Linked DNA regions of Mus musculus. The protein of the gene in region 3 interacts with the protein of the main gene of each other region in a biochemical or structural test. Links are inferred from orthologs where the notes say so. Each region holds a gene or a part of one and is shown on either strand. Other genes may lie near its edges. The genes, in order: Atg9a, Ubc and Ap2m1.

Region 1 (7,760 bases), on a different chromosome or scaffold from region 3:
TTTTTTTAATTAAAAAAAAAAAACCCACAATGACTCAGCACAGACACACCCCATCCAATGCTGGGTAACCCCACCAGCTGGCTATCAGCTTCCAGCCACCGCCAGACACTCCATTCTTTTTTCTAAAGCATGGAGCCAGTTGGTCCTGACACAGTACTTGTCAAATATCAGTGTATCTCCTTCCCATAAGGCTCCTTACCTGCTGGCCCAGATCTGCTCTGGCCCACCACCACTGCGGGCTGTTCCAAGATACTAGGGCCAAGTTCTCGGCTGCAAATGTCACAGTCCAGAGGAGCAGGAGACCCAAGCTATGCCTGAACTTCATCCAGACGCCCATTGCCAGACTCTGCCGTGCCTGGCTCCGTTCCACCACGAGCAGCCACAAGCCACAGACGCTGGCCAGACTCTCCAGCACAGAAGCCAGCAGTAGGTAGCCTGGCAGACGGACCCCCCGAGCAGTGCCCACTCGGCCAGCCAGACCAGCCAGGGGCAGTGCCATCTGAAGTGTGGCCAGAAACAGCTGCAGCACATATGGGGCCACCCGAGGGCCAGCCGCCCAAGACAGCTCTTCTGGGCCAGCAGGCACCTCCCGACGCCTGCGGGGAAGAACCAGCACCAAGGCCAGTACCCCCAGAGTCAGGAGTGTCGAGGGCACTAGCGTGAAGAAGAAGCAGGGACTCAAGCCATTCTGAGTCCAAGCGGGCCCCGCCGGCCCTTCGGTCTCGCAGTAGTTGCCCACAGTCACCATGGCGATGTGTGGCTGCTGGCTGAACTTGAGGTCACTGCACAAAGAGTCGGGCTGACCCTTCAGAGAGGGCCGCAGATGCCAGGGTGTCCTGGGACATGGAGCTACGCCGCTTGGGTCGCGGGAAGGGACGCACGTGGACCTGCTACACTGCCCACTCTCTTCACGCACGCGCCGCTACCACGCATACTCACGCAAGCCACGTACGCCGTGCTTGCCGGTTCCCACTCGCTAGCAGCTGGGACCCTAAGGCTCGGAGCCGCCGCACAAAAATGTTGGGTCCTTTACGGCAGCGGCCCCGCCCACCAGATCTATCCAGGGTTCCCATTGGCCAAGGGTAAGGAACACAAATAGGGCTGAGAACCGACTGGGTCACATGTCCAAGGCGGGAACTCTAACCTGAATCTGACTGGAGACTTTGACCTCCACAGAGTAGTGCGTCCGAATTTGCACTCCCCACCCTCCACCCCCGCCCTTTATAAAGGCATTACACCGAGGCCTCCCTGGTCTCTAACCTGCTTCAGTTCCCTCTATTATAGTGCTAAAGAACGAACTCAGGGCTTCACACATTATCAAGCTACTGAAGCACACTAGAAACAGCTCTTCTCTGAGTCCTAGTTCTGTTCCCGTGGTCCTGCAGGCGTACTTGTTTCCCAAGCCTCCCGGCCAGGACTCTTTTACAGTCCTAAGACCCCCCCCCCCCCCCCCAAACTGCTGCGTGGGGGAAAAAAAAAGATGCCACAACCAGATCAAAGTCCCTTCTTTATTAAGGGTTATCAAGCTGTACAGGGCTCCCACCCTGTCTGCTGTGGCCTGCGACAGTAGAGTCCGCCACCTTCAGCTTAAGTTTACCTCCCACAGCTGAGCTGAGCAGAACTGGGGAAGGGAGTGCAGGAAGGGTAGGAGCTGGATCCCAGCATGCAATGTCGAAGCCCTAGGCTAGGGTGAGTCCATTATCCCTCCATTCTCCTCTTGGTAAGTGAGGGATACTGGGCAGAGCTGGGATGTATATATAACTGAGGTCACACTTCTGCCCTGCCAGCCCCTCTGTGCAGGTGGTAGGACTACATAGAAGCAGCCAGGAAGGCCTCACACTCCCAAGTGCTCGTCCTAAAAGTTGAAGAGGGTAATAAAGAATTTTCATCCTGTTCCTGCAACTTAGTAACCTTCCATCTTAGTGTCAAAAGATAGTGAGGGGAGCTGGGAGCTAGGGCTCTCACCCCAACAAAAAGCCAAAGCCAAACAGAAGGGGGGCAGGTGAACAGAAGGGGGGGTGGTCAAGCAGCACACATGCCAGTGATGTGCAGGGGGGAGGGAGGCTGCAGCGCAGGTTGAGGTGAGGACTGGAGGTAAGGGCCACAGCCTGAGCTGCTCAGCTATTCCAGGTTCTGGAGGGTGGGGAGGCTAGGCTGCAGGGATTGAGGGTTCAGGCCCTGCCTCCCCACTCCACAGTTGGCACAGGTTCTTCTGCTTGGCAGCACTTCTGTGGCAGGAAGCCCTCTGGAGACTTGCAGGGGTGGATGCAAAGATGGCAGTACTGGGACTGGGCTGGGGACCAGTTTCTAGCACCACACTCTGAGCCAAGGGAGTCCTGGAGACGAAGCTAGACTCTTGTGTGCCCCTAGTCCTCATATTCTTCCTGGACTATGGTAAGCCCAGCATTGGCACCTCCCTTGGCCAGGCAGGAACACACAAAACACCACACGTGGGGCCAGGCGACACTCAGAGAGTCCCTCTCATGGCAGACAGAAGGGATGGCAGGGCAGCTGCCACCTCCATCCTGGAGCATGGGAACCAGCTACCGCCTTGCCTATACCTGTGGAGGAAAGGAAAGACCGGTAGTACAGATAGTCTTCAGCTATCGTCTTGCCCCAGAGGAATCTAGAAATAAAGGAAAGAAAACGCTGGAAGCTAGGGAAGTTAAGTCTTGAACTTCAGAGCAGTAAAAAGAAGAAAGTGGGTTTTTTGCTTTTCAAAAATGTATTTGTGCATGAGTGTTTTGTCTGCATCGAAGTCTGAATCAGCCGGCTGTGGTGGCTCACGCCTTTAATCCCAGCCCTCAGTAGGCAGAAGCAGGTGGATTTCTGAGTTCAAGGCCAGCCTGGTCTACAAAGTGAGTTCCAGGACAGCCAGGGCTACACAGAGAAACACTGTCTAGATAAACCAAAAAAAAAAAAAAAAAAAAAAAAAAGTCTGAATCATGTGTGTGTGCAGTACTTTTGAAGACCAGAAGATGGCATCTGACCCCCTGGGGCTGGGGTTACAGACGGTGGTGAGCCACTGTGTGGGTGCTGGAAAACGAACCTGGGTCCTCTGGAAGAGCCCCCAGTGTTCTTAGGCACTGAGCCATCCCTCCAGCCGTCTGGAGAGTAGACAAGAGCATGGAGGAGTGGGAGACACGCTCCTTCACAGGAGGAGCTGGTCTTCACTGGAAGTCACCACTTCTGGCAGTGGTTCTTGGCCTCACAGCCTTTACCTTGTGCACTTGAGGGGGGAGTTCATCCTCTGAGCCCTCCTCTGGCACCGGCTCTGGGTGCCTTGATGCTGGCTGGCCATCTTCTGCCCATCCTCCCAGGGGCAGCCTGGAGAAGTGAGAGGGGCCACGGGGCACTGTGCCAGGATCTACAGAGAGAAACAAGAACACAAGGCACAGTGGGAAGGTTCTGAGGACCACTTGGAGGCTTAGTCTCCTTGCACCCCATCCTGATGGTCTCTTGCGTCTTAGAGAGAACCGTCCTTCCCCGAAACCTGTTTGCTACTGTGTTCCCAGCTGGATACCTGTGATGCCCCCGTAGCGCCTCTGGAAGCCCCCATGCAGGGCGGTGGTCTCAGGTGCTCCAGGCCGGGGTGTAGCACAGGGATAGCTGGCCGAGCGGGGGATGGGTTGGGGGGCCCGGGCACCCTCTCCCCCCTCTTCAGGGGCACTCTCTCCACTCTCATCACTCTCCCGGCGGTGCCACACATGCCGCTCGGGCTCAGCCTGGGTCTGCTGCTTGTGGAGCTGGAGAAGTGGGGGGCTGATTAGTCGGGGGCAGAAGGATGTCTGTCTGAAACAGCTGCGACCACTGAAGCATCTTCAATTCCCACTCACAAACCCTCACCTAGGAACCTAGACTCACTGCATCTCAGATGTTAGTAGTGTACATTAGCTGTGTGCTGCTCTATGGATCTCATTCTCAGGAGACCCCTGGAAAAGCTTCCGAGTAGCTCAGGCTGACCCTGAACTCAATGGGTAGTTGAGAATGACCTTGAATTTCTGATCTGACTTCATCTCCCCTGGGATTACAGATGTTTAGGTAGTTCTGGGAATGGACCCCAGGGTCCTGTACATACAGGGCAAGCAGTCTACTAAGTGACCTACATCTCTGGCCCTCATTTTACCCACTCCTTGAATCAAAGAACAAGTTAACAGAGGGTCTCGGTGCCGGGTATTATTTTAGGTACTCAGAACACAGCAATGAACAAATAGAATTGCCAGTCTTTGTGAGGCTTTTACACTAGTGGTGGTGGTTGTAAGGAAAAATAGACCATAAACTATTAAATGAAGACAAAGCCCCAAAATGTCAGATAGCACCAGATGCTATGGATAAAAACAGAACAAGAAAAGTCAGTAGGCAGCTGTGTGTGACACTGAAACATGAGGTAGCAGGACTGAGGCCAGCCTGGCTTACATAGTCAAGAGTCAGACTCTGTTTTAAAAAGCCAAGGTGGGTGGGGAAGAAAGGGAGGGAGAAAGGAGAGGAGAAGGGAAAGGAAGGGAAGGGTCAAGGTCTGAGGCAGGGCTGGATCTGGAGGCACATGCCTGCAACCCCAGCTGTTTGGAAGTGGGATCACATGTTCAAACCCAGCCTGGCTACACAGTAAGTTCAAGGTCAGCCTAGGTAACTAAGTGAAAATAGTTCTCAGAATAATAAGCAAAGGAAGGCTGTGGAGATAACTTAGGGCTTACCTAACATGCCCAAGGCCTTATCTGCTCAATCCTCAGTACTGGAAAAAAATAAATTCAGGAGAGTGGAGACAGGAGATTTTACTGAGTCTTGGAGAGAGCAGGAGGAGGAGAAAAAAGTAGGGAACATGGGAGTACTCTTGGCTAAAGATGCCACTAAGAGGACATATGTGACGGCCCGGTAAGGTGATGTGTGTCTTTAATTCCAGCACTCAGGGGGCAGAGGCAGGTGGATCTCTGTAAGTTCAAGGCCAGCCTGGTCTACAGAGTGAGTTCCAGAAATAGCCAGGGCTACACAGAGAAGCCCTGTCTTAACCCCAGCTCCTGAGTAAAGGAGTTCTGTGGAACCACAGAGGCAGAGAAGGGCTGACACCCGCCCCTCGGCTGCACTCACCTGGTGCATGTACAGGGCGTGCAGGCTCATCTCGGTGGACGCGTATTCGGACAGCACCAGGCTCTGCAGCTGTCCTTCCCACACGCTACTCCCAGAGCTGGCTGTCCTGGCATCCACTCTGTCCCTCCCAGCACAGACAGACAGCAGGCATCAACATTTGCAAGATCTAGACCAGGTTTTGTGGGCTCCTGCCACGCCCTCCCACGCTGACCCACGTCCACTCACTCACTCACCCAGAGCCTGTCATGGTACTGGGAACCCGGCCTTGAGGGGCCGCTCCAGGCTGCAGAGGGGAGAAGGATCGAAGGGCAGAAGCAACATCAGCCCTGTGCCTGGAGCCCTGCAGGTCTCTGGACAGTGAGGGTCCTCGGCAGGATGAGCCTGCTACCACATTTGCAATAAGGCTCAGTGGCTGTAGGAGGAAAAAATGGGGTAAGCAGAAGTCTCAGGGCAGGGGAGGCCTCTAGGTCCTCCAATGTCCTGACCCTCAGGACCCAACCGCTCAGACTGAAGGGAGGAAACCTGGCACCCTGTGTCCCATGCCGTTCCCCACACTGCAGTCCACTGCCCACCATCCCCCAGGCCCCAGAGCCACACCTCGGACTCAGACTGTAAGGACTGGATGGATGTGAAGAGGGCATTCTCGGGGAGCAGGCCACCCTGGGCCAGGCCAGCAGCTGCTCCATCTCGCTGCACCTGCTCCTTGAGGAAGCCCAGGAAAGCTGTGCTCTCACGAGGGGGCTGCCAGCCGGGATTGGTGATGGCAAAGTGCATGAGCGACAACTCGGTCTTCCCGTCCTCGGCTTGCTGGTACACTGAGGCCTCTGTCTGCCCTCCAGACAGCCACTATGCAAGGGAGATGACAGGGATCAGGCCCGAGCACTCACAGCAGCCCTTCCGGCAGGACAGTGATAGCAGGGCATTGTCATATCTGTCAAAGCCCTGATGCCCACCCCAGGAGTGGCCACATACTGGGTCAGTCACTTGAACTGTACTTTTTTCTCAAAGGAGTGTGACTGATGGTTCAAATCAGGGCTGGAATCCAGTCAGATTCCTGGTGACTAAACAGTGTCTCTGGTGCAGGGATGCCCACAAGTGGGGCTACCCTTTTTGTGTTTGTTGGCTTGGAAAGGGCAGCTTTTTGCAGTTTTCCCAAGGTTACTGTGTGCCAGCATTGTCCCTGGCCATCTGCCCTGCCCTCTCCCAGTACCTGAGGATGGCCATGCTGGCGAACGTCCATCTGAGCAAAGGAGCAGGTGTCTCCCACACCCACGACCTCGACCGTAAAGTTGCGGAAGAAGTCTATGATCTCCAGGGCCCGAGGGCGGAGGCAGAAGATGAGAATGAGGGGTGTGACGATGGGACTCAGCAACTCCTCCAAGATGAACACCTAAGAGGGAGGGGGCCGAGGTTACCCGCAAGCAGGACACAGCCCAGCCCGTATCACCAAGATACCAGCCAGTCTCTAGCAGGCCCTAACTCCAGCTCCACTCACTGCCTTGTACTGGAAGAGCTGGGCAAACTCGTCCCGGGTCTGCGAGCGGTGGGCATTACCCTGCCAGTGGTCAGGCATGTAGTGGATGTGTGCAAGAATCACTCGGAGCAGCTGCTCGGGGCAGAACACCATGTGCTGGTCTGGGATGAAGGACCTAGTGGGATTGGGCGCATGGTGAGACAGAAAGAAGCCTTTCCCAGAATGCCACTCTGCTATTCCCACCCGCCGCCCTGGCACACCTGCACACAGTCACCGTGACTCCCAGGAGGGTGACCGTGGTGAGGACGTGTTCCACAGCTAACACATCTTCATCATAGATGGTGAGGGCAATAAGCACAGCCAGGATAGAGCCAGCGAAGAAGGCACCATTCTTGGCCAGCAGAGTCAGCAGCGGTGACAAGAAGCAATTCATGTACTTGGAGGCGGGCTTGTAGCCTCGGTTGAGGCGGGACTGCAGCTCATGCTCCAGCTCATTGAAGTGGCGGAGGTAACAACGGCCATAGAGTGACCAGCAACGCGCTCCCAGGGCCCCCGGCTCTCTCTTCAGCACCTCGGCATAGCTGAAGAAGGCATAGAGGATCTGCCAGATGAGGATGAGGGGACACAGCAGGAAGTTGGCGATGCCAATCCACAAGATGCGGTTGCTGAGACGCTGGGCCAGCTCTAGCCGTTGCCCTCCACGTTTGTACTCGGCCTTGAGGCTCCACTCATTGAGAAACAGAGAGCCGGGTCCCCAGAAGAGGATGAGCTCAAAGTTGTACTTGAGGCCACGGGTGAAGAAGACAACCTCTCCGAGGCCGGGCAGACGGAAGCGCAGAGGCAGGAGGGATTTGTTCACCAGGGCCACCATGTAGTTCTGGAAACGTAGGATGCGATGGTAGATGTCCAACTCTGTCAGCTCACGCTTGTGGATGCAGATCTGATGCTCTTTCTGCGTCTGCACAATCCGGGCCTGAACTTCCTGCCATGTGCAGTATGGAAGGGCAGACTGCCAGGATAGGGTGGACAAGAGACAAGTATAGGAGATGTATAAAGTATAGCTAAACCCTTTGTTCAACACAGATGTAGGACTTTGCCTACACAGATATAAGTCGTATGCTTAAAGATACTTCCTGCGGGCAGTGATGGCGCACGCCTTTAATCCCATCACTTGGGAGGCAAATGCAGGCAGATTTCTGAG
Region 2 (4,152 bases), on a different chromosome or scaffold from region 3:
GCTACATATAGGAACCCTGTCTCAAAAAAACTCAAAAAATGCTGAGATTAAAGGCATTTAATAGTGTGTGTCCATCTAAGTGTGTGCCACATGTATGTGAAAGTGTCCCTAGGGACATTGGACCCTCCTGAAGCTGGAGTCACAAGCTAGCTGCCTGACAGGGTTGCTGGGTATTGAATTCATGTACTCTGGAAAAAGACCTGTTCCTACTGGGGAGCCATCTCTCCCCATCAGGGATTCAATTCTTACCTTCTAAGGTCTTAGGCCTTACATTTCAAAAACCTGAGCTGGGCAGTGGTGGCGCAGGCCTTTAATCCCAGCACTTTGGAGGCAGAGGCAGGTGGATTTCTGAGTTCGGGGCCAGCCTGGTCTACAAAGTGAGTTCCAGGACAGTCAGGGCTACACAGAGAAACCCTGTCTCAAAAAACCAAAAAAAAAAAAACAAAACAAAACAAAACAAAAAAAACCCTGAATAATTTGATTCGTATAAGTGGGATATATGCTTGCTGTAATCTGAACATTGTACTACACGTGCACATTTGTGCTTTTTTGTTTTTGTGGGGGTTTTTTGTTTGGTTTTTGGTTTTTCAAGTCAAGTGTAGCCCTGGCCATTCTGGAACTTGATCTGTAGACCATACTTGGGAGGCAGAGGCAGGAGGACCTATATAAACTTGAGACCAGCCTGGTCTACATAGCATATTCCAGGACAGGCAGGGCTACACAGAGAAACCCCCATCTGAACAACAAAAATTTAAAAATCAGGGCTTCAGTGGGTTCAGTCTCAGAATATGAACAACAAATATGAACAACATTTGGAAATTTTGACCTTTACTTAGTGACAAGCACATAGAAAACATAGAACCTTCTCGAATCCAAGGACACAAGGTTTAGGAAAAATCTGGAAAGATCAGGTTCTGCTGGGCTTCAGATCTAATGCCAACAGTTTTCAAGAACTGTGTAGACTGTCTGCTTTCCTTGACAAACTCAGATTCGTTTTTCCAAATCGGGGAGAGATTCCCTCCTTCGTATTTTTTTTTTTTAAATTTATTAAAAACCCTTTGTCATTTTCCTTGTTAGGAGATTTGCACAGTCATCCACCCTGTCACTGTGCCAAAACAGTGAGGGCTGGGCATAGTGACCCGCCGGGGATGAGGGGATTGAGGAGGCGAGGTCACCAATGGGATCCCAGTGTGACAGGAGCCAAAGCCCTGGGTCCCCCTAGCGCGGAAAGAAAACAGGGGGGGTGGGGGGTGGTGGCCTGACTAGGGGCGCCAGGCCGCGAAGCCGCAGGGCGCCTGCGCCAAGGCCCGCTCCGGCCTCAGTGATCCCAGCCGTGTTTTCGTGCCGATCGTCTCACGCGCGCTGATCCCTCCGCGGAGTCGCCCGAGGTCACAGCCCTGCCCTCCCACACAAAGCCCCTCAATCTCTGGACGCCACCGTGAAACAACTCCGTGAGAGAGGTACCTTGATAGTTTTAGCCTGTCGCTTTCGCTGCCGAGACTGGACCCGGCGTTACAAAGTAGTCCCTGACCGCATTGCCCGCGGAGGGACCGCGCGGAAGGGGGGGGGCGGGGCTTCGGTGACTATATAAAGAGACGCCGGGCGTGCCGCAGCTAGTTCCGTGGAGACTGCGAGTTCCGTCTGCTGTGTGAGGACTGCCGCCACCACCGCTGGTGAGGAGAAAGCCGCCGCACCCGGTCGGGGACGGGAGGCTGGAGGCGAGACGGGGCGAGAGGCAGCCCCGCGGCCCAGACGTTTGGTTTCCGTGGCCCGCGCGGACCGCGGCTGCCCCGAGGCAGAGGACTGGGCGGCAAGATGGCGGCCAGATGGAAGCCTGAGGGGGAAGACGCGGGGCTCTGACGCGCAGGACGAGGTTGGGGGAGGAAAAAGGCCCGCGAGGCCGCTGCCCTCCGGTTAAGCCGGGGACGTCGGAGACTGTGGGGTGGGGACTGAATTAGGGTTGCGCGCCGTAGGAGCCTCTGCTGTGAGAGCCGTGGATATTGGGCTGGCCCGAGAGGTCGATTGGCCCGGCGTTCGTCCGTTCGTTTGCTGAAAGACGGAAGTGCGATCGAGACCGGAAGGGGGTTGGGCGGCGGTTCAGCCTGCCTGGCCTGCCGCCCCCTGTGACGTCGCGGGTTGCGTGGCCTCCTAATGGATAGTGACGTCACTATCTTGACTTTAGCTTTCCCTCGGTTGTAGGACAGGGTTTGGGTCTCGGCCTCCGGTAGCCTCTCCAGAGTAAACAGGAACCGGAAATTCAGAGGGGAAATGTGAGCCATTCTTGTCCTGTTTCGTTTTAAGAATGTCGCTGTACAACTATGACTACTGAAACTTTTGGGGGGGGGGTTCGAGACGGTTTCTCTATGTAGTCCTGGCTGTCCCGCATCTCACTCTGTAGATCAGGCTGGCCTCGAACCCAGAAATCCTCCTGCCTCTGCCTCCCAAGTGTTGGGACGAAAGGCACCACCATTGTCCTGCGACAAGGGTGTTTTTTTTTAAACTGTCAAAATCTCTGCCTCTACCACCCCATGTGATGAGGTCCAAGGCCAGTACCACCACTCCAGACTAATTTTAATCGTTCAGACAAAAGTTTGGTGTTCTTTTGGGGGAAGGAGAGTTGAGGCAGGATTACACTGTCTCTGGCTGACCTTCCAGTTAGAGATCTGCCCACCTCAGTGTCCCCAGTGCTGAGGTCAGCGATAGGCATGGGCTCAGACTTAGTTTTGCAGTAGTAACTTGCTATATTACCATTCTGAAACTGAATCCGGGACTGCTGTGGTTTCATAACCTCCCAGAGGTCAGGCTTTTCTGCAAACTGTTCAAATAGACAGAAATTGACTTTCAGCTGTTGGTATACTGAAGTCTCCATCCTGTAAATTTGGTAATACAAAAAGACTCACCATGCCGAGGTTTCTTAACTTTGTTAGTCAACAATCTTATTTTCTTGATGGTTTTTCGGGGTGGGGGGATTGGATTCAAGACAGAATCTGTGTAGATAGACCTTGCTATTTAGACTTATAGCATCCAGTTGACAAATGTTGATGCCATCCCACAAATATTTGTGTCATTCCTGACCTGTGAATTGTTTTGTATATTTTGTGACAGACGATGCAGATCTTTGTGAAAACCTTAACTGGTAAGACCATCACCCTGGAGGTCGAGCCCAGTGACACCATTGAGAATGTCAAGGCAAAGATCCAGGACAAGGAGGGCATCCCCCCTGACCAGCAGAGGCTGATCTTTGCAGGCAAGCAGCTGGAAGATGGCCGCACCCTGTCAGACTACAACATCCAGAAAGAGTCCACCCTGCACCTGGTCCTTCGCCTCAGAGGTGGCATGCAGATCTTTGTGAAGACCCTGACAGGCAAGACCATCACCCTGGAGGTCGAGCCCAGTGACACCATAGAGAATGTCAAGGCAAAGATCCAGGACAAGGAGGGCATCCCCCCTGACCAGCAGAGGCTGATCTTTGCAGGCAAGCAGCTGGAAGATGGCCGCACCCTGTCAGACTACAACATCCAGAAAGAGTCCACCCTGCACCTGGTCCTTCGCCTCAGAGGTGGGATGCAGATCTTTGTGAAGACCCTGACAGGCAAGACCATCACCCTGGAGGTCGAGCCCAGTGACACCATAGAGAATGTCAAGGCAAAGATCCAGGACAAGGAGGGCATCCCCCCTGACCAGCAGAGGCTGATCTTTGCAGGCAAGCAGCTGGAAGATGGCCGCACCCTGTCAGACTACAACATCCAGAAAGAGTCCACCCTGCACCTGGTCCTTCGCCTCAGAGGTGGCATGCAGATCTTTGTGAAGACCCTGACAGGCAAGACCATCACCCTGGAGGTCGAGCCCAGTGACACCATTGAGAATGTCAAGGCAAAGATCCAGGACAAGGAGGGCATCCCCCCTGACCAGCAGAGGCTGATCTTTGCAGGCAAGCAGCTGGAAGATGGCCGCACCCTGTCAGACTACAACATCCAGAAAGAGTCCACCCTGCACTTAGTCCTTCGCCTCAGAGGTGGGATGCAGATCTTTGTGAAGACCCTGACAGGCAAAACCATCACCCTGGAGGTCGAGCCCAGTGACACCATTGAGAATGTCAAGGCAAAGATCCAGGACAAGGAGGGCATCCCCCCTGACCAGCAGAGGCTGATC
Region 3 (7,725 bases):
CGGGAGGACCCTGAGTCCAGCCACCTCAGCTCACACAATGAAACCCATCTCAAAGCACATATCTGCAGTATCAGCACTTGAGAAGCAGAGGCACAGGGATCACCTAAAATTTACGGGCAGTCTGGTCTACATAGTGATTTCTAGGTCAGCCAGAGCTACAAGCAGCAAGACCCAAACAAAACAAAGTCTGGCATGGTGGTGTACACTTTAATCTCAGCACTCAGGAAGTAGATCTCCTGAGCCTACACACAGGTTCCAGGACAGCCAGAACTGCATGGAGTAATAATAGTCCCGTCAGACCCTCTGCGGGCCCCATTAACATTTAGCCAGCAACTCCACTCTATTGTTTATTGGGTTTGTAACTGGACAAAGTCACACGTGTACAAAACGAAGCTCATACTATCCCAAAGCAGAGTGGGGACTAAAGACTGGGGATCTGTTACTGGCCTTTGGGGAAGCTCTGAGGTGAGGGGTAGTCAACCTTCCCACTGCAGAGGTGTGGCCACAGGGGTAGAGAGAAGAGGAGAGCACCTGGCTTTGGTCACAAAACTCAGGGCCTGGCGCTAAGCCAGGACAGACAGACGGAAGAGAAGCCTCAAAAACCACCCTCCCAGGAAGCCAGGCACTACCTGACCAGTTCCACTGTGGTGTGGCTGGTTCAGACTTATACTCAGGGGCTATTGGAAAGGAAAGGCAGCAGAGCAGGACGGAGGAACGACACTGGTGAGTGGTCACTAGGGGTACTTGGACCTGTGGGAAGGGTGGGTAGGGAGGTGGGCCAGCTGCAACTAGGCAGCTAGCAGCGGGTTTCATAAATGCCACTGCGGCCAATGTATCGCACCCATTTGATGACATCATGGTCGCTGTAGTTCAGCTTCGGTTCGAATACCTTCAAGTAGCGCACCTTGAGGCCAGAAGGCGCGAATGGCACCTGAGCAGAGGACAGCTCCAGTTAGGAATATGGCCCTTCTATCACAGTACTCTGGCAAATTCCATGGTTCACCCACCCTATCTACCACAGGTGTTCTTGAATGACTGGTGTGGAGGGAATTCACTAGGAGACTACCACGTGAAGAGAGTTACTAGGAATCAGGACACATCTGAAGCTGAGCCCAGTTGTGAGGATAAAACTATTGCTCTAATCCTTAGGTTGCCAGAGCACTATCTCTGAACTACTTATCCCAGAGAACTACCACTGAACATACTTATCCCTGCCAATGCTGTGGACTTGAAAATAAAGTGGAGAAAATGATGTGTCTTATTCACACAAAGCAAATGTTTCTCAAAAACTATTTTGTGACAAATCAAATAGTCAAAAGCTTTTGGTCAGTTTAAACACCAATTTCTATTAAAAGGGGATGGGTCTATCAATTCAAGACATTTCCCAACCTAGGCCCAGTTCTCTTATTCCTAAGAAGTAGAGTCTAATCAAAATGATCAGAGAGTCTCCCATCACACCCAGCCATTGCGCTATACCCCTCCTCTGCCTACCTCAAAGTTCATGGAAATGGGGGGCCGAGCCCATTTCTTCTTATCGTTGGTGGGCAGGAGCTCAATCTCTGCGCTGATCTGGGATTCCTTCATGCCTGCCATGCGCTTGATCCTAGGAACACAGAGGGAATGGGCAGCAGGAGGCTGCAGTAGTTACTCCTTCAGTACCCGGAGCTGCAGTTTCTCCCTCACCCAGACTGTACGCTTTAGACACAAGTCGACAAGGGCCAACGGGAATATCTTGAAAACTAGACACACGTGCTCCTCAAGTGCATGAGAGATGGAGCACACACACACACACACACACACACACACAAACACACACACACACACACAGGCTCCTGGACAAGCATGCACTCTTTTCTCACCCTATAACCCACACAGAGGACAGGTCAAACTTAACCGGAAGGTACACTATGACGCCTTGAGCCTGCCTGTGGCCTCCTGAAGACTCACTTCCATACAATGGCGTTCTCGCTGGCCTTGTACTTGGCCTTCCCCTTCATGCAGATCACCTGTACCCCGCTTGTGTTCAATGGAGTCGGGATCCTCACCTAGGAGTGACACACCCGTCAGTGAGCTCTGGGGAGACCTGGATCATCTATCTGCCTTTTCTTCCCCGAGATAGGTGTTTCACTCTCCAAGTCTCCAGTCCTCACCTCAATCTTCTGGGCCAGAAGTGAGGGCTTGAAGTTGGACTTGATGACCACCTTGACCTCCAGTTTGGTGCGCCCCACCTCCCGCACCAATGGGATCACCCGGAAAGGAAGGATGATGTCCTTGGTAGTACGGTATCTTTGGAGGAGAGAACACATGTGATAGCACAGGGCCAGCCCTACTCTCTTCCAGATGCACCCCCTGCCTCCTCCACACCCCCATGGCACCTCATGAGTTCAAACTCTCCGTCGGGAGGGATGAAGCTGATGCTCCGCTCAGAGTCAAACTTGCTGAGTCGCACACACTGGTGGAAGGTGCAGTCATCAATGGCGATCGACTGCTTACCACTGTAAACGGAAGCAGAGCTCAAATAGGTACATGTCAGATTAACAGACCATGCCAGAGCAGGCTAGCCACACAGATTATGGGAAGCTTCCAGAACACAGCTTTCTGACTTGGAAATCCCTGCCCTGCAGTTTGAGGTGTGGGAGAGCCTCTGGGTTCCTTATCACCTGAGAACTTTGTTGCTGGGGATCAAACAAAAAAAGCGTGCTCTCCAAGGACAAAGACAGTCCCTCCATGCCTTATCGTCAATCACAAGACTAACTGGCCAAGGATGACTTGGAAAGACAGTTAACAATTCCAGAAATGAACTCCAAAGGGAATCTGGGTTCACTAGGCCTCACTGGATTCTCAAAGGCTTGCTCATCCTTGTGTCCCTTGAGCTCCCAGACACCGGTACCTCTTGCTTGTTTCATCAGCTGTGCCTTTGCCCTGCTTTTCTATGACAATCTTGTCATTCATTCCAAACTTGCACTCAGGCATGCCACTCAGGTAACTCTTCATCACCACCCGGCCTGACACATGGGCACTCAGCACCTGCCCTGGTGACAGAACAGAGAAACAGGGAGCAGCTGAGCCACGCCGACAGGCCAGGACCTACCCACCCCCAATCCCCGGTCTCATCATGAGAAGACACTTACCCTGTGGGGACATAAGCAGGTTCACACTCTCCAGAACATCTAGGAAGAGTTCATTCCGGCGATACTTGATGCCTTCTCGCCGCCAGCCAATCTGCCCGGTCACCTGGCTGGTGATCTGGGACTGTTCTTCCTTCGTCTATATGGGATAAAGGTGGCCAATGACCTCATCCCTTTCCCCGTCCCATTACCCTCTGCCCACTGTATCACGTCACTCTCCCTCCTTCCTCACAACCCTTACAGGGCAGGATCTGCAGAACAGAGTGAAGCTGCAGTGGGAGAAGTGAGGGAACAACTTACCTGATGCTAGAAGCCGCAGAGCCAGCAAGGGGCCAACACAACAGGAAGCAGCATGGTAAGCAAACAAAGGGAGAAAGCGATAAGGCTCAAGTCTGAGAGGAGAGCCCACGTGCTTTTCTGAGGAACACAAGGCCTGAAGAGCAGACACACCCCTGTCCCCCGTGTAGAAGAAACCAACTGAGCTGTATTCCTGGTAATAGAGATGCTGAGTTGGCAGCTTCTGGGGTAGGAGAGCTAGCTACCCAGAGCAAAAAAGGCCTGCAGTCATGGTAGGAGGGCTGAGGCCAGCACTTCCTGTCAAGGGCAAGCTCATGAGTCAGCTAGAACAAGGCCAGGGATCAATAGGAAGGAAAGGAGTTTGGGGTCCACCCTGTGTGCTATACAATTAACTCAAGTACCTGACTCTTGATACCCTGCTGGGTGATGAAGGTTTTCAGTGCACCTGTCTCTGAGTTCTGTGGGTAGCCAAAGTCCAGAATCTCTGTAAAAAGAAGGGAATTACAGCCTGGCAGTGAGGTATATGCCTTTAATCCTAGAAATCAGGAGGCAGAGGCAGGTGGCCGAGTTCAAGGCCAGCCTGGTCTACAGAGCCCGTTCTAGTACAGCAAGGCTACACAGAGAAACCCTGTTTCAATAACACAAAACAAAAAAACAAAAAAAGAAGGGAATTACTAGTTTCTGGAGAAAACAAAAGATTCCTTCCTTCCAGTCCCTCCTCTGGCCCGGATATCCCTGCCTAGAACATAGAACAGGTCCTGGTGCTGTACAGAATCACCTACAGCCAAGTCTTCTAGCTTAGAGCACTCAGCTTAGGATTTGTTCTTCATACGAAAATACAACTTTTTTCTTCAAATGTAAAAAAGAAAAATCATGAAAGAGTCACATGGTCAGTGAGTGGGTAAGAGGATTAAAAAAACCCTGAGCCCTCCTTTTCTCCAGAAAACAGATGGTGGTGAAAGGGAAGTCGTCACAGATACTACAAGAGGAAAGAGGACAACCAAGGGACCTACAGGACTTCCTCTTCTCCAGGCTCTGAGGGAGTGTTGAGATAAGAGTTGAGTTCAGTTTGTGAAGATTTTAGGCTAATACAGGTGGCTTGGCCACCAAACCCCACAGTCAGGTTCCTAGCCCCAGCAAAGACTAAAACTTCGTGCTGGCCTATTTTCATATTCTACTCTAAAACAAGACCCTCTCAGTTAGGCCCCTCCCCACAGTGGCATTTAATCCTCCAATGTCTCACCATCCAGCAGCTCGTATATGAGCACAAAATTGTTCTTGATGTTCTCCTCGCTGATTTTGCCAAAGTAAGCAGCCATTACATCACACATCTTGTAGAGGAATTCGAAGACCATGGCAGCATTGACATTCTGCTTGGTGACTGCGGCCAGCCAGATGTTGGACCGCTTAACATGGAAGAAGCTGGTGCGAGCGATGTTTGTGACAGGGCTGCGCACCTGCTGCCGTGCATGAATGACATTGACCCGAAAGGCATCCACAGCATTCCTCCTAAGGGAAAAGATGCAAAGAGGCAATTCAGTATTTAGGCAGACCTCACCCCCTGAGGATCACCTACAGATGCTGGCTGCCCCACCCTCCACACCACTGAAATCTGACATATATTCATAAGTCAAGGCCTAAACCACTAGGGCTCCCTTCTTATACCACCTGCAGGGTCCTGGGAGAAGGTTCTGCACTGGCTTGCTACCTAAAGGGGAACTCAAATGATAATAACGGGAAGAGTGCCTGTAGTGTTAATAAACTGACTCCTGGGCCTGACTTGCTTTCCCAGATACACCCCAGCTGTCCCCACTCTAGCTTTCCAGGAAGTTCCAGGCCTGCAGAGAAAGAGATCTCTGTTGGGTCCATCAGTGGGGAAAGCTAACTCTTCAGGGAGTTGAATAAAACTAGTATGACCTTGGAAGAGTCTACTCTAAAGGGTGAGAGGGGCTATAGACTGTGCCACCCACTTCTTTTCTAAGGTCTGACTTCTGAAGGGGATGAAAAATGATGAAGGAAAACAATTTGGGGGGGCAGGACCCCCTGTACCTGAGCGGCAGCTTCACAGGCTGCTTACCTATTGCTACATCAGCCAATGAGATGGGATGAGAGAAATGACGTCAGCAAGGAGGAGATTGACAGCAAGGAGAGAGAGGGTTAGACGACACACAACACACCAAGGTGGGCAGCACATACCATGAGGGAGAAGCAGACAAGACAGGCAACAGGTAGAGAGCACGCTAAGGCATGCAGGGTGCCATGTGGCCCAGCTGTGGCATAAACCAGGACCATCCAGGCTGGGAGTAGCAGGAAGGAGTGGAACCAGCCAGGTTCACTTAGGCTAGGCACTGCCACAAACTAAGTCTAGGTTAGCTTTACCACCAAAAAATGGATACAGCCACACCAAGCTAGCCCATTAGCCAGGGAGGCAAGAAGGTAGGAGAGCTACCATAGGTCTATTCTGAGACTATTTATCTCAAGCTCTTTTGAGAAAGAAAACCAAGGCAGGAAGAAACAGAAGAGCCTAGCCTCAGGCTAGACAGTGGAGGATCTCTTAGCAAGCAGCCAGAGTGTGAGGCAGAGTGAGAAGTGAGACTTTAGGAGGTCTTAGGAGCTGTCCAGCTCCACCCAGATGAGCTACAAAGGCAGCATGACCCGCAGAGCACAGTAAGCCGGTTCACAACCAGGGAGGGCCCAGGAGAACTGAAAACAGCTGAGTCAGCAGACTACAGAGAGGTTTTAAGGGGATCTAGGGAAGGCTCTCAATATGAGAAGGATTTGAAAGCAAGATTTAGATGGATTAGTATCTCCACACACACACACTAACTACACCCACTGGAGAGAGTGCTCCCTTCTAAAAGGAAGACCAGGCAAAAGCACCTGGTCTTCAGCCACCAGACCTACCCCAAAGACACAGGGAGCAGGAAGGGCAGGGATTCCTAACCCTAGGGGGTGGAGGTGTCATTCCGAGGCCTGGAGCCTAGCAGCTAGGCCAGTGCCCAATGGGAACCAGGCTATATTGCATGCTCAGGCTGAGGCAACAGGGAGGTTGAAACACAGCATGCTCAGTCAAGGGACTTACCCGATGTCATCTCTGTAGACCCGGGAGATAAGCACCTCCCCCTTGTGATTATAGATGAATAAGCCTCCGATCATGGTGGCAGCTCAGTCTCTGTGACCCATTGCTCTGAGAACAGACCTAGGTAGGAAAGGGGAGGGGGGATTAGGGAAAGGGGAAATCTTTAGAACCCGTCCACGCCAATGGGGCTGTACAGGCCCGCCTTGTTTCCTGACTCAGTCCTCTAGCAAGTGACTCCCAAGTCCTCCGCAGCCCTCCCGAGGCTCCAGTTCCTGTTTTTCCACACTGGATAGGGGACAGCACTTTAAGAGTGTGAGGCCCGGGGATTTAGGCCATTTTTATCCAGCCTTTTCTGAGGGCTGAGGAAAGTAACCACAAGGCCGAGCTCAGCCCCCTACTGTGCACTCTCACTCCTGCTGCTTCCAGTGAGTCACAGAGAAGGCCTGCCTGCAGATGCAGGAATGGCGTGGCGGGAGGGATTACTCTAGTTGGCTTGAGCCTGGGCCTGCCACCAGGCATAACCTTTAGAGCAAGCATTACCCTTCCAAGAAGGCAACGGAGCATGACCCTCTAGAAGTCTACACATTCCAGGAAAGGGTGTGCAGGGTGAGGTGGGGCTGGGAGGGAAGAGGCCCTTAGGCTCTAACACAGAGCCAGGAAGGTGGCTGAAGCAGGCACATCTTTCCCAGGCAGAGAGATAAGCAGACAAAGGAACAGAGGCCCGCTTAATAAGTTCTTTAAAAGATTTCATTTTTACCGACACACAGGTACATGCCAGTGTGCTGTATGTGTGGAAGCTAGGTGTTAGACTGAACACTGCCCTCCACCCCTCAAGCCTGAGTTAGGGTGGTACTGAGCCAAATGACATGTGCCGGGACCTGAACTCAGGTTTTCTGGAAAAGCAGTAAGAACTCTTCAATGCTGAGCCCCTTTTACAGTTATTTCTGGTTACTGTCTTTTCAAAATTTCTAAGTGTGACAAAAATTAGGTCTGTATGTAGTAGCATTAATCCTGCCATCTAAATTGTGTCTCCAAATCTGCCAAGTCAGTCACTTCTGGCCTGGTGTTTACCAAGCAATGGGCAGGGATAACAGAATGCCTCGACTGCCCAAATTATTTTGGTCAAAATTAAGGTAGAATATTTGAGTAACGGGGTTAATCTGGTTCTAGATTTCTGGATTAGTCCAGATATTAATTTCACTGAGGTTAGTTTAACAGACT

Evidence for each region.
Region 1: the proteins of Ap2m1 (region 3) and Atg9a interact in a biophysical measurement, tested with the Homo sapiens proteins (4 studies listed by BioGRID and IntAct, with this or other methods). The link is inferred for Mus musculus from reciprocal best matches to the Homo sapiens genes AP2M1 and ATG9A.
Region 2: the proteins of Ap2m1 (region 3) and Ubc form a complex in vitro, tested with the Homo sapiens proteins (2 studies listed by BioGRID). The link is inferred for Mus musculus from reciprocal best matches to the Homo sapiens genes AP2M1 and UBC.

Annotation. Positions count from the first base shown.
Region 1 is NC_000067.6:75,179,371-75,187,130, forward strand, and holds the end of Atg9a (autophagy-related protein 9A), read right to left. Parts: exon of another isoform or gene 7,569-7,760; coding exon 6,820-7,568; intron 6,735-6,819; coding exon 6,581-6,734; intron 6,476-6,580; coding exon 6,296-6,475; intron 5,932-6,295; coding exon 5,683-5,931; intron 5,498-5,682; coding exon 5,319-5,497; intron 5,204-5,318; coding exon 5,086-5,203; intron 3,747-5,085; coding exon 3,524-3,746; intron 3,368-3,523; coding exon 3,222-3,367; intron 2,562-3,221; coding exon 2,556-2,561; coding exon of another isoform or gene 2,468-2,555; 3' UTR 1,491-2,467; downstream 1-1,490. Other genes in the region: Abcb6 (ATP-binding cassette sub-family B member 6, mitochondrial), read right to left, coding at 200-748. UniProt on the Homo sapiens protein: Phospholipid scramblase involved in autophagy by mediating autophagosomal membrane expansion. Cycles between the preautophagosomal structure/phagophore assembly site (PAS) and the cytoplasmic vesicle pool and supplies membrane for the growing autophagosome.
Region 2 is NC_000071.6:125,387,218-125,391,369, reverse strand, and holds the start of Ubc (polyubiquitin-C), read left to right. Parts: upstream 1-1,352; 5' UTR 1,353-1,460; intron 1,461-3,105; 5' UTR 3,106-3,108; coding exon 3,109-4,152.
Region 3 is NC_000082.6:20,536,517-20,544,241, reverse strand, and holds part of Ap2m1 (AP-2 complex subunit mu), read right to left. Parts: intron 6,625-7,725; 5' UTR 6,582-6,624; coding exon 6,508-6,581; intron 4,935-6,507; coding exon 4,669-4,934; intron 3,910-4,668; coding exon 3,827-3,909; intron 3,435-3,826; coding exon 3,429-3,434; intron 3,268-3,428; coding exon 3,132-3,267; intron 3,033-3,131; coding exon 2,891-3,032; intron 2,496-2,890; coding exon 2,376-2,495; intron 2,287-2,375; coding exon 2,151-2,286; intron 2,046-2,150; coding exon 1,948-2,045; intron 1,604-1,947; coding exon 1,492-1,603; intron 932-1,491; coding exon 797-931; 3' UTR 1-796.